Lepisosteus oculatus: one gene and its partners. The main gene of each other region encodes a partner of the protein of the gene in region 3 in a complex. Links are inferred from orthologs where the notes say so. Each region holds a gene or a part of one and is shown on either strand. Other genes may lie near its edges. The genes, in order: klhl12, klhl21 and cul3b.

Region 1 (3,753 bases), on a different chromosome or scaffold from region 3:
CTGGTCTCAATTCTGGACCCGGGGTGCTATCTGTGTGGAGTTTGCATGTTCTCTCTGTGTTTGTGTGAGTTTCCTTTGGGCACTCTAGTTTCTTCCCAGAGTCCAAAAAATATACGGGTAGGTTCATTGGCTTCTGGGAAAATTGGCCCTGGTGGGACTGTGTGTGTACTTGTCTCTGTGCGTGCCCTGTGATTGGCTGGTTTCCTGTCCAGGGTATATCCTGCCTTGCACCAGTTTTATGCCAGGTTAGGTTCTGGCTCCCCTGCAATCCCGAATTGTTAGAAGCCGTTAGAAAATGTATGGATTATTTTGTTACTCTTTACATGTTAAACTCCCAGCCTCTGCCTCCCAACCTCAGGGCATTGGGTTTTCGTCATATCCTTTTCCTTGTCAAAGATTTACAATTACAAATCATAATGCAGCCTCATCTGCTGAAAGGAAAGCATGATTCTGCTGCAAGATGAGCTGTGCCTCTTTTTATTTTTTGGCATCTCGTGTAGGTATGGCAAGTACTTAACAAGGTTCTGAAATAATTACACAGCCCAAAGCTGCATTCTACTATTGCTCTCCATCCTAAAGAATTCCAAAGTTCTTTATAAAGAAATAGGCCCCCTCTTCCTCCAGCATTGAAGCACAGCCCCCACCTGAGAGGCACCACTGGTCGGCACCAGCAGTCCCACTGCACAGCTGGTCAGGGGGAGAAATGAGAAACTGCTTCGACTGAATTAAGGGAAGATACAGGGTAAGCTACATGGTACAAGCCCAGGGTAGAAGTAAGCAGGACACCAGAACTGACACCCCTACTAAACAAAGTCGTTACCTCAGATTAATGTATCACCCGAAGACCAGCACCTCCTGCAGCACGGTGTCCCCGATCATCATCCCAATCGTACTGGGACCTTGGTTTTTGAACAGTGGTCAGGATGGAAGAACACCACCTACTGGCCCAACAACACCACTAACAGCAGCAGCTGGAGCTGTGATTCTCAGCCCCGGTTTGGGAACTACCCCTGTGTCCTTTGCTTTTTTGTTCCAGTAATGAACACGCTGTCTTTATTTAAATAAACCGGTGAAAACAAAAACACTGCAGTTAACCGTCACCTCATAATATTTTTTTTCCATGATCTGAAACATCTGTCTTAGTGTTTCAGCTAATTTCTAATTCCATACTCCACAAGAACTGTGAAAGCGGCAGGAAGGGGGCCTTTTGGGGTTATTGAAAAGCCAAAATAAAACAATAATGTCAAAACAAATTCTTAAATATGTAAATACTCGTACAAATAATTACCTGCTATCACGTAAATGTATTACACATTTATGTAAACTGCAACATAACTGTGATTTTATACACAGATTCTTTACATTAAATAGCAGTTTAAGCATTTTTAATAGAGAAAAGAAGGCGCGTTCACGGCCGTGGGAATCCTCGGGCGTGTGGACCTTGTGTGTGACCATGACGTCATTGTGTTGTGTTTGCAACTGGTACCTGGGACTTTTATCTTCCTGGATAGCACAGTGCTAATCATGAAAACTGTGTGACTGTGGGGATTTTGAATACAGTTACGAGCTAACCAAACTATCTTGTTTTTAGAGGATTAGAAACCTGGACGTTTGTTTCGGTAACACTTGATTTTAGTTAGAAAGATCCCAACAGACGCGGGCCGCGGAGAAGAACCGCGGTGTGGGAGTGACGGATACGCCGGAGTATGGAGCGTCTTTGCTGGGGGTTGTAACTGTGCAAATCACCGGAGCGTCTCATCTGCTGGTAAATAACGTTTTGTCCGCAATAAAGTACACTGCATTCAAATAACATTACATCTGAGCTTGTTGACCTCTAAAATCATATAACGGGCTGTTGCATTTGACCCCTTGAAGTGATCTGGTTGTTATAAACATGTCCACCGGCTAGGAAAATAAATATAATATACCTCAGTATTTTGCATCTTGTAAGCACTGGATTCATATTCTGTTCGTAATGATACCTCGTGCTCGAATAGGATTCTCTTAGTAAATCATTCTTAAATCGTGCGGTCAGATACGGGTCTGTGCACAATACGTATTTGGCACACTGTAAAGTTAAACTGCAATGTTAACTGGTGCTTTTCGGACCAGCATTAGCAGCAAAGCTTTGTGAAATCGATCGGCCGTGAGCTGCAGGGTGACCCGGATGCCCGATTGTACTTGTCGTGGGGTACCCAGGACTGAAGGGCGCCGTTTGTCGTATTACACTCCCAACATGAAATGTATTACATAATTGATTTTTGTTTTGCACAACACGAAATGAAAAACTAACAACTTTCATTGTACCCACAAAAGACAGTTGTGTTACTCTACCCATATAATGACATACAGACTTTCAATTTTTAGACAAAAACATGTTTATTTTGTATACGAATATCGCAAATTGATATTCAAGTCGTGCGCTCGAAGCGGAATACCGTTTGTGTTTTGTCACTGCTCATTTCGTGAACTCAAGGACGTCGATGTTTATTTCGTTGAACGAAATTTTGTGACGTATCACTTTTGACCCCTGACCTTTGTTGGCATGACAACCAAGGATCAGTGGCCATGGACGTCCACAATGGTACTGCTCATGCGCTGGAGTAGTGCACTTCCTTAGTTACAATTAGTTCCTTGGAAACAATGTACTGTAGTTTATACTGTAAACGGTTACTAGAGATAGCCAGTGGCTATTTTCTTATGGAATTTTTGATTGTTTTCAAATTATTTAAATAAAAAAATTCACCTAGATAACACGACGTCTGACAGTACCAGCTAAGGCAAGAATGCTTTTCTGGAAAAACGTTCCTCCGTTCATCCGTTTTCTAATGGCTTCTTCCACTTCAAAGTCGTGGGGGAGCCAGAGTTTATCTCTGTAACAGGCACAAGGCAGGATTACACCCTGAATGGACACCTGTCCATCACAGGGCAAACAGACATACACTCACATTAGGGCCAGTTTTCTCAGAAGCCAATTAACCTACAAGTTAATTGTCTTTGGACTGTTGGAGGAAACCGGGAGGAAACGGAAGCACCCTGAGGAAACACACATGAACAGACGGAGAACATACAAATTCCACGCAGACAGCACCCCACGTCCAGAGCTGAACCCAGGGCCACAGCTCCACGAGGTAGCAATTCTTACCACTGCCACTGTTTTTCTCAAAACCTATTTTATGTAATTTGTATATACCTGTATGTGGTATTTAAAAGAGTATTAATAAAATTTCCTTGCATTTATATTGCACTTTTAATCCCAAAAGTCCCCTAAGCACTTTACGTGTAGGAGGGAACCCCGTTTTTTCATCCATCATTAATGAGTAGTTCCCATCTGAGTGAGTGTGGCCGCTGTTCTCTGTCAGTGGTGCTGCTAAACAGTCGATGAGGTGGGAAACGAGAAATTACTTCTAGCTACATTCACGGGGAACTTTTGCAAAGCCACACTGTACAATCAAAGAGTGAAATTTAGCCAGGGTACTGATACAACACCCTACTTTTTCAAAAAGTGCAGTAGGATCGTTAATGACCAGCTTAATGTCTCTTGTGAAGGATAGTATCTTCAGCCAGTGTACTACGTCTATTACTAATAATAATTCCATACACTTATATAGCGCTTTTCTGGACACTCCACTCAAAATGCAATACAGATAAAGGGAACTCCCCTCCACCACCAATGTGTAGCACCACCTTGATGATGCATCAGCAGCTGTAGAGCGCTAGTATGCTCACCACACACCAGCTATCAGTGGGGAG
Region 2 (3,753 bases), on a different chromosome or scaffold from region 3:
GCAGTCGGGCGTGAAGTGCTGCGAGCAGATGACCATGTGCCTCTTGGGCTGGAAGTCGTCTCGGGCGATGTTGTCCAGCCACTCCTTCAGCACGTGGGGTTTACTGAAGGGAAACCTGCCAGGGAGGGAGCGCCAGGGTGAGGCATTGGAAATCATCCATCCATCTGTCTTCTAACCCCTTATACAAGGCAGGGTTCACCCTTGACAGGGCGCCAGTCCAACATAGGGCACACACAGGCACCAACACACAGGGTCTCACCAGGGCTATCTTCCCAGAAGCCAACTAACCCTACCAGTGTGTGGGAAAAACTGGAGCACCCCGAGGAAGCCCATGCGAACACCAGAAGGCCATGCAAACTCCACACGGACAGCAGCCGGGGGTCTGAAATTGAACCCAGGGCCCCCAGCACTGTGATGTAGCCTTGCTAACCACTACAGCACTGTGTCGCCCTCTTGTCAATATTAATAACGATGACAATCATAAATAATATGCAGTAAAATAATAACAGCCCAGACGGACACAAGGCCACGCAACCATATGTGAACCTGTTCCATTTTGTGCACTTCTTACACATAATACTTCCCTACACACCACTTCGAAAACTCCTACATCTCTCCTATATACTCAACACAAACCCATACCGTGAGATCACTGAATTAATGTATCTTTCCCAGATAAAGATATGCAATGGGTAAAAACAAAAAAAGTATCTTATTCAACACTGGACGTCCGAACAACTTCACACACAGCGCAGTAAAGAGGTTAGCCCGCGCTGAACAAACCGAGGACTTAATTTAATAATTAACAGACACTCCTGCTGTCCTGGCTCGGAGGAACTGGGAGACAGCGAGGACAGAAGCTGAGGGTGGAAAAAAATCAGCTTGAAGCAGATTCTTGATTGCTCTCGCTATCAGAAGTGTGAGTGCGGCAGTGCTGTGGATTACTGTGAATACAATCAGGAAAACAGCTGTACCTGTGGAAGGTGAGATCCGGGTTCTTGCTGCTGTACCTGTTGGTACAGTTGTAAGCAGAGCAACTCTTCGGCATGTCTTTACGCGCAGTGCTCTCTCTGCCCCAAACAAAGATGGCGGCCAGCATTCCAACTGGGGGCAGCACCCGAGCTGAGCCGTCGCCCCTCAGTCAGAGCGAAAAGCCGGAGGCTGGGAAAAAAAGAGACAGGAAATTACAACAAGTCAACCCTTCGGCGGGGTGTCCTCGGTTATGAGTGTGTTTTTGTTTCTCGCAGAAGTGTAAAACAGAAGTGCGCGGACACTCCAGTTTTCAATCCCATCTCCCAAACTGCGTTTCGGAAGGCGCGTCTGCTTACGCGGTAGGTTTCACCGTCCTCGTCGGTGAGCTGAATTTCTTAAAACATCCACATTTTTTTTTTCTCGGCCTCGTCAGCTCTTCCTCACAGCGGGTAGCGCGTCGTTGAAAGTGTGACTCCGGGAGTGGGGCATTGCTCCGCTCTCACACGAACAGATGACTAGCCTGCCAGGTCGGAAAACATCCCGAAACCAAGATGGCCGACGGGCTTCGGTGTTTTCCGCAAGGTTCCCCGAATAAGATCTCAGCCGGCAGATGGGTCTGGGTCTCACAGCGTAGCCCATAACCTCTCTGTCATTATAAGAGTGGCGGAGTTGGTGGCTGTTGAGTGGGACCACTGAACTTGTGTGTAATTCACTCTCACACTGTTGTATTCATCTGTAGTCACAGCAGGGGCAGTAATAGAAAACCAAGACACAATACAGTACGTTCTCAGCTGAGGTCTGTATATAACCGAAGATTGCACTGCGTTTCTGTTACAAGTGATAATGGGGAACCACACCTACGGTATTTTAATCATGTTCTTGTCTGATTGGGTAGAAAATGTGGTTTTCTGTCATTAAGAGCTCGGTTGAAAACCCAGGAGACCAAAGAGCTCTCCAGGATAAAGGCAAGAGATCTCTGTTCCAGCAATGTTTTGCCTCTATGCTGTGACAAAGCTCTAAGTGACAGTGATCAAAAACCGACTGGGATCTTACAAAAAGAAAGAATGAAAAATGAGGGAACCTTATTGTAAAGCAGTTTCGATTCCTAGACGGTCTTGGTATCTTCGGGTTTATGTTCCAACATAGTTGGTCAAACTGAACAATAAATGTAATTGATTAGCTGTTTCCACAATTAAGGTTTCTCGAGGTGTCTTACTGTCAAACCTTCAAAACATTTACGCCAGTAAAGATAGTACCTTTTAAAACCTGTCAAATCATGGCCGTGATATCGCAGTTCTGCGTTTCGGTGAATGATTAGACCCGCTCTGTAACAGAGTGCCCCAGTGAAACAGAGCCCAGAGGATTCTGCTGAGTCTGAGACCCGCGGGGTAAATGTTACAGAACAGTCCCGAAGAGGCATGACCAGTCAGCCTTGCTGGAAAGCTAAGGTGCCGCTGGTTTCCAGCTCTTGCCTGCCTGCTCCAATACTAGTGTTTATTACATTAGGTATCTGAACTGTACAGCTGAATCTCTTCATTCAAATACATCTCGGCATCAGCTGTTATTGGTGCAGAGTCAAGGTCTGCTTTGAGCACAGTTTCGGTGTTGAGGAAATGCACTGACAAAGGCTGCCAAGTTTCGCGATCGGAAATGCGTTCCCCGTCTTGGTCCTTACTAACCTTGTCAAGTCCTTAATCACAGGACTTCAAATCTCTCTTATTTCAATTTTCTCTTTGAGACCCTTTTAAAATGGATTTCCAGCTCTTGAAAAGCCGAGTGGCATTAGTAGCTGGTATATGGACCTTGTGCTAATCAGTACGTTTCAGGGCTGACCCCAGTCAGGTGTGCTGGCTGAAATATAACCATCTGGACTTAAGCAGTAGGGAAAAAAACTGCATCAGGAAACTCCAACAATGAGTCGGCCTGTGTCGATTTTTCAACTGATCACCTGGCCTGAACTAACGAGTCAGTCTGTTACAGACGCCAGTTAAGAGCCCAGCAGACACAGGGGTACCCCAAGACCACAAATGGGAACCACCACTCCAGCAGGTTGTCTGTGTCTCTTTAAAAAATCAGCAGCTCCAGGCAGCTGGGAAAGGATTAACTGGTCACATTAAATCTTAACGGGATCACTTTAACCCTTCAGCCAGGTGCAAGGTTGTTTTGAAGTTTGAGAAGCCTAGAAACTTGCAGGAACAGATTTGGGAACCACCCGCCTCGAGGTGCTGCCGATTTTGTTGGCACAACACAGAGAGGCACCACCCTTGTCACGGGTATTAATCTGCTACAGGAGCACAGAAGGGCAAGAGACCCCACAGTGTGCGTGGCAGAAGACCCACAGCCCTCTCTCCTTACGTGGTAATGCTGCAGGTGATCAACAATCACATAGCCCAAATCATGGAGGTGCAATGAACAACTGAGAATACCAAATTTATTTGTTTAAAAAAAGTAACATCTTTTTTTATTCCGGATTTCACAACGTTCAAAAGAAAAAGAAGTCCAAAAAGTAATACCAGAGCTTCAGATGCCGATTTAAAATAATCAATAGTTAGATCTTTATTTACAACATATTTTACAATTTACAGAGTTTCATAGAAACAGCCTTCTCCTCTGTGCCACTGTTCAGTTCCCTCGCAAAAGCCGACCGCTTACATTCCTGCGGTCTCTGACACTTTCAAATAACCAGTTCCAAATTAAATTAAATGTTTTTAAAAAAACATAAAGAGGGAACAAACTCGTTTTCCTTTGGTAAATTAGATTTCCTTTTTGTTTTTACAGTAG
Region 3 (3,753 bases):
CCCTCCACCACCACCAATGTGCAGCATCCACCTTGATGATGCGACGGCAGCCATAGTGCGCCAGAATGCTCACCACACACCAGTTATCAGTGGGGAGGAGAGCAGAGTAATGAAGCCAATTCATAGAGGGGGATTATTAGGAGGCCATGATTGGTAAGGGCCAATGGGAATTTTTGGGCCATATGCTCTTGTAGAGTGCCATAGTGTAACTGACAGACAAAACTGCACTTGGGACCAGAATAAAAAAGAAAATTAAGTGACCTAGAGACTGAAACCATCAAGTCAATACCCACCATAACAAGTCTCTCTCCAAACTCAGACTCAGACTCAGAGAAGCTTCAAACAGATCATAACACAGGCATCTGAGCTATTGATTGACCAATTCAAGAATTTTGGCAAGAGATGGCATATAGGTAACAGGACTGCAGTTGTGTGTAATATTTTTAATGTCAAGGCGTTGACTTCATCCAGGTGGATGCTGCACATTGGTGGTGATGGAGGGGAGTCCCCTTTACCTGTAAAGCGCTTTGAGTGGAGTGTCCAGAAAAGTGCAATATAAGTGTAAGCAATTATTATTATTATTATTATTATTATTATTATTATTATTCATGTACAACTACATGAATAGGAACGGAATCTGAATGTACGTCGCATTTCTGGCCCCAAGAAGTTTGTTGACAAAACATTGGTAACAAACATGTTAAGTGCCACCGTATGAGAGTGAGTACAAAAGTGTGCCCGTTATTATATTCTCCTGCCTTTTCTTTGCGGATCATCATATTCTGAAACACTCAACCGTGACATCAGGTTCCCCCCCAACTTTTATTTTCTTAACTAGCTTCCCTTTACTGTGCGTGCGCCTCTAAGATCGCGTTCCTCGCCTCACGGTTCACCTTTCCTACGGCAGACACCCGGAGGCGTGAAACTCACGTTAAAGGTTAATATGCTGCATCGACGCAGCGCATGGCTTTAATGGTGTGTTTTTGTCTCCCGCAGATTTTTTTCCCCTCTACCTTTATCTCGCGCGAGTTTCGGTGTGGGGTAGCCCTGCGCACTGAGAGCTGTTTGTCCGCCATCACTGTGCAGAAAGAGCCGAGCACTTGGAGTGGCGGCGGCGGCGGAGTGACAATACCAGCCCAGAAAGAGGGACGTAGACACGCCGGAGAGGTCGAGGGGGCTAAACGGCATTCCCGTCGGCACATTTTCCCGCAGCTGCCCACGTAGTCTTTAATGTAAATAAAGAAACAGACGCGATCCAAACATGTCCAATCTAAGCAAAGGCGGCACCAAGAAGGACACCAAGATGAGGATACGAGCCTTTCCTGTGAGTAGTAGCCGGGGACGGGGCACCTAAGCGGGCGGGCGAGGAGACTCGAGCGCCGGGGATTCGGTCAGGGAATGGCGAAAATCAGGCCTCCCAGTTAGTAAACAAAGGCTTTGAAAATACGCGAGCTACTGAAACCTTGCTCGTGTACACGATCTTGAAATGCCTTTTTCCCCCTCTTAAGTAAAAAGTAATGTCTGGGAACAGAGGAGTGAATTTACAGTCCGACGTTAAATCTTTGTTGTTAGTGAGGCCTTCATTTTTGACACATTAATAGGTCAGTGAGCAAATCGGCAGGGGGGAAATGGTAGCTAACATTTCAGTAGTTCAGGAAGTTTTATTTTCATTATAGATCGTGATGGCATATAGCTATTTCATAGCCACAGCATTAAGCCTTACGACAACAAAAATGAGGTTGTTTCTCTTTCTGATTTCAGGTAAGTTAGCAGAACTAATTGCATGTTTAGCAAGGTGAACTTCACACCCGGAACGTAACAAAAAGTACTAAATCATCCGCTCTGTGAAGTCAGTACAGTTGCCAAAACAAGAACATGTTCCGCGACATGGTTGTCGCAGTGAGTAAATTAGTTTCACAGCAGTGTGTAGGCCTGACTGTCCGATAAAATTGTTTAATACTGAGGTTTGAATGCATAAGCGTTGTCAAACGTCGTAATGACTCGCATTGTTAAAAGAACAACTAAAATAAGGATATTTCATGGCGTATACGTCGAATTAAAAGAAATGAACGATAATCTCATAAAAATCTAGGTGGTCAGGAGAGTCATGTTTCATAAAATGAGTCACTACTAATGGTGTTAGTAAAGCAATAGTAAGGTGAAAAGATGCCTTGATGTCATGTATGTAAATCAAGGTGTGAAATGATGTCGTTAGTTTTGGGAAGCTCGATCGTTTTGTGGACTCTAGAAAAACACTGGAAATCTGTCATCAGATATTGTCTCTAACATGTCTTCCTTCAGGAGACCCTCTTTTCGTTGGGTTAGGGACATGTAGTTATTTGATGATCCTAGCATGCCAAAGTTGTCTTTATACCTCAGGAAAGCCCATATGATAAGCAAGTGTAAGGACTGGCCTGTAACTGCAGTTCATAAGTCATGTCCTGATTCGTGTGCAGCCCTTGTAAGTTGTTTTCCTTGCTAATCAGTGATTTGCTGAATTGCTCATTGCCTGCTCCTTTAAAAAAAATACTTCAGTGGCAAATTGTTTTAAAACAGATACTAGGTGGTCCTGCATTTCACTTTTTGCAGAAACATCTTGCTGTTTCTGTCTATAATTAACTGTTTTAATCTCATACTTTTGACCTCTCTTTTGTAGATCAAGGCTGAAAATTATGTAAAAATTATTAGTCTTAACATCTTAAGGTGCTTATTAAAAAATACAACATATCAGGGGGTTGAAGCTATGTTGATACATTATACCTGACTGTAATTGCTTGTAACTGCTTAAGATGTACTGAAAACTAAATGTCAAAGCAGTTGTCCAGCAGTGAGTTGGCTTCACGCAGAATTGCCTTGGAAGTGGAAGGATTAGTCCTCCGATATCTGCTGTGTAGATATTTACCAGTGGGTATCACAGGTTGCATTTTAAGTGATCTTGGCAGGGGGTATCCTAGTCCATTCCTGGATGAGAAAAACCTAATAGGAGGTATCACAGTCTTGCCAGTTCCCATCCCAAGGGTGTCTGATCTGTGCTGTTTCAGTCAACACAGTTATTTAGGGCAACACATCATCTTAGTCGAAATGTCAGTGAATCAGGCCTGCTCACATCATCTGACACTTGAAATGTTTTCAAGTGGTAGTAAAATGCAACACCCACTCCATTATTCTCTTTCCATACACCTAGTCTTGGTGAGCTACGTTTATGCTGACCAGTGTAAGGATGGTCCATAGTTTCTTCGTAACACCGGTACCATAATGTCCTATGGTTGTAGTTGCCATATGTTCCTCTTGTACTCTCTTATGCTGTAGTGTAAAATGAGTGCTGTACTCCTACAGAGTATTGGGAACACACATGCAGAATGAAATGATTTTCAGTCATTTATCATAGAATTATTGCCACAGAATAATTTTTCTAGGCTTTTAATTGAATATGGTTCTAATAGATGACTAGATGACAGTTCATACAGCATAATTCCAGTGTTAACCTGTCAAGGGAACCGATGACTGCAGTGTCTGATTTCATATTGATCAAAGCCTGTGATAAATTATCAATACATAATACCTCTGTGTTCTAATTGTATTTTAAAGGAAGCATTTTAAAATCAAGATGTGACATATAAATTACCGATTGGTGTTCTGTCATTTAAACTAGGTTTTCCCAAACCCAGTTTTGGAGGTCTGCAGTCCTGCAGGTGTTCATTCCTGCGCAACCGTTAATGGTCAAGTTTAACTAGCTTTAGGCTTGATTTGTGC

The links.
Region 1: cul3b (region 3) and klhl12 share a complex: the UniProt entries of both Homo sapiens proteins name them as parts of the BCR(KLHL12) E3 ubiquitin ligase complex. The link is inferred for Lepisosteus oculatus from reciprocal best matches to the Homo sapiens genes CUL3 and KLHL12.
Region 2: cul3b (region 3) and klhl21 share a complex: the UniProt entries of both Homo sapiens proteins name them as parts of the BCR(KLHL21) E3 ubiquitin ligase complex. The link is inferred for Lepisosteus oculatus from reciprocal best matches to the Homo sapiens genes CUL3 and KLHL21.

Annotation. Positions count from the first base shown.
Region 1 is NC_090700.1:30,400,566-30,404,318, reverse strand, and holds the start of klhl12 (kelch-like protein 12), read left to right. Parts: upstream 1-1,458; 5' UTR 1,459-1,765; intron 1,766-3,011; 5' UTR 3,012-3,050; coding exon 3,051-3,131; intron 3,132-3,753. UniProt on the Homo sapiens protein: Substrate-specific adapter of a BCR (BTB-CUL3-RBX1) E3 ubiquitin ligase complex that acts as a negative regulator of Wnt signaling pathway and ER-Golgi transport.
Region 2 is NC_090720.1:9,156,660-9,160,412, reverse strand, and holds the start of klhl21 (kelch-like protein 21), read left to right. Parts: upstream 1-1,099; 5' UTR 1,100-1,331; exon of another isoform or gene 1,332-1,681; intron 1,682-3,753. Other genes in the region: thap3 (THAP domain-containing protein 3), read right to left, coding at 1-115, 975-1,099. UniProt on the Homo sapiens protein: Substrate-specific adapter of a BCR (BTB-CUL3-RBX1) E3 ubiquitin-protein ligase complex required for efficient chromosome alignment and cytokinesis.
Region 3 is NC_090708.1:6,829,626-6,833,378, forward strand, and holds the start of cul3b (cullin-3b), read left to right. Parts: upstream 1-881; 5' UTR 882-1,261; coding exon 1,262-1,324; intron 1,325-3,753. UniProt on the Homo sapiens protein: Core component of multiple cullin-RING-based BCR (BTB-CUL3-RBX1) E3 ubiquitin-protein ligase complexes which mediate the ubiquitination and subsequent proteasomal degradation of target proteins.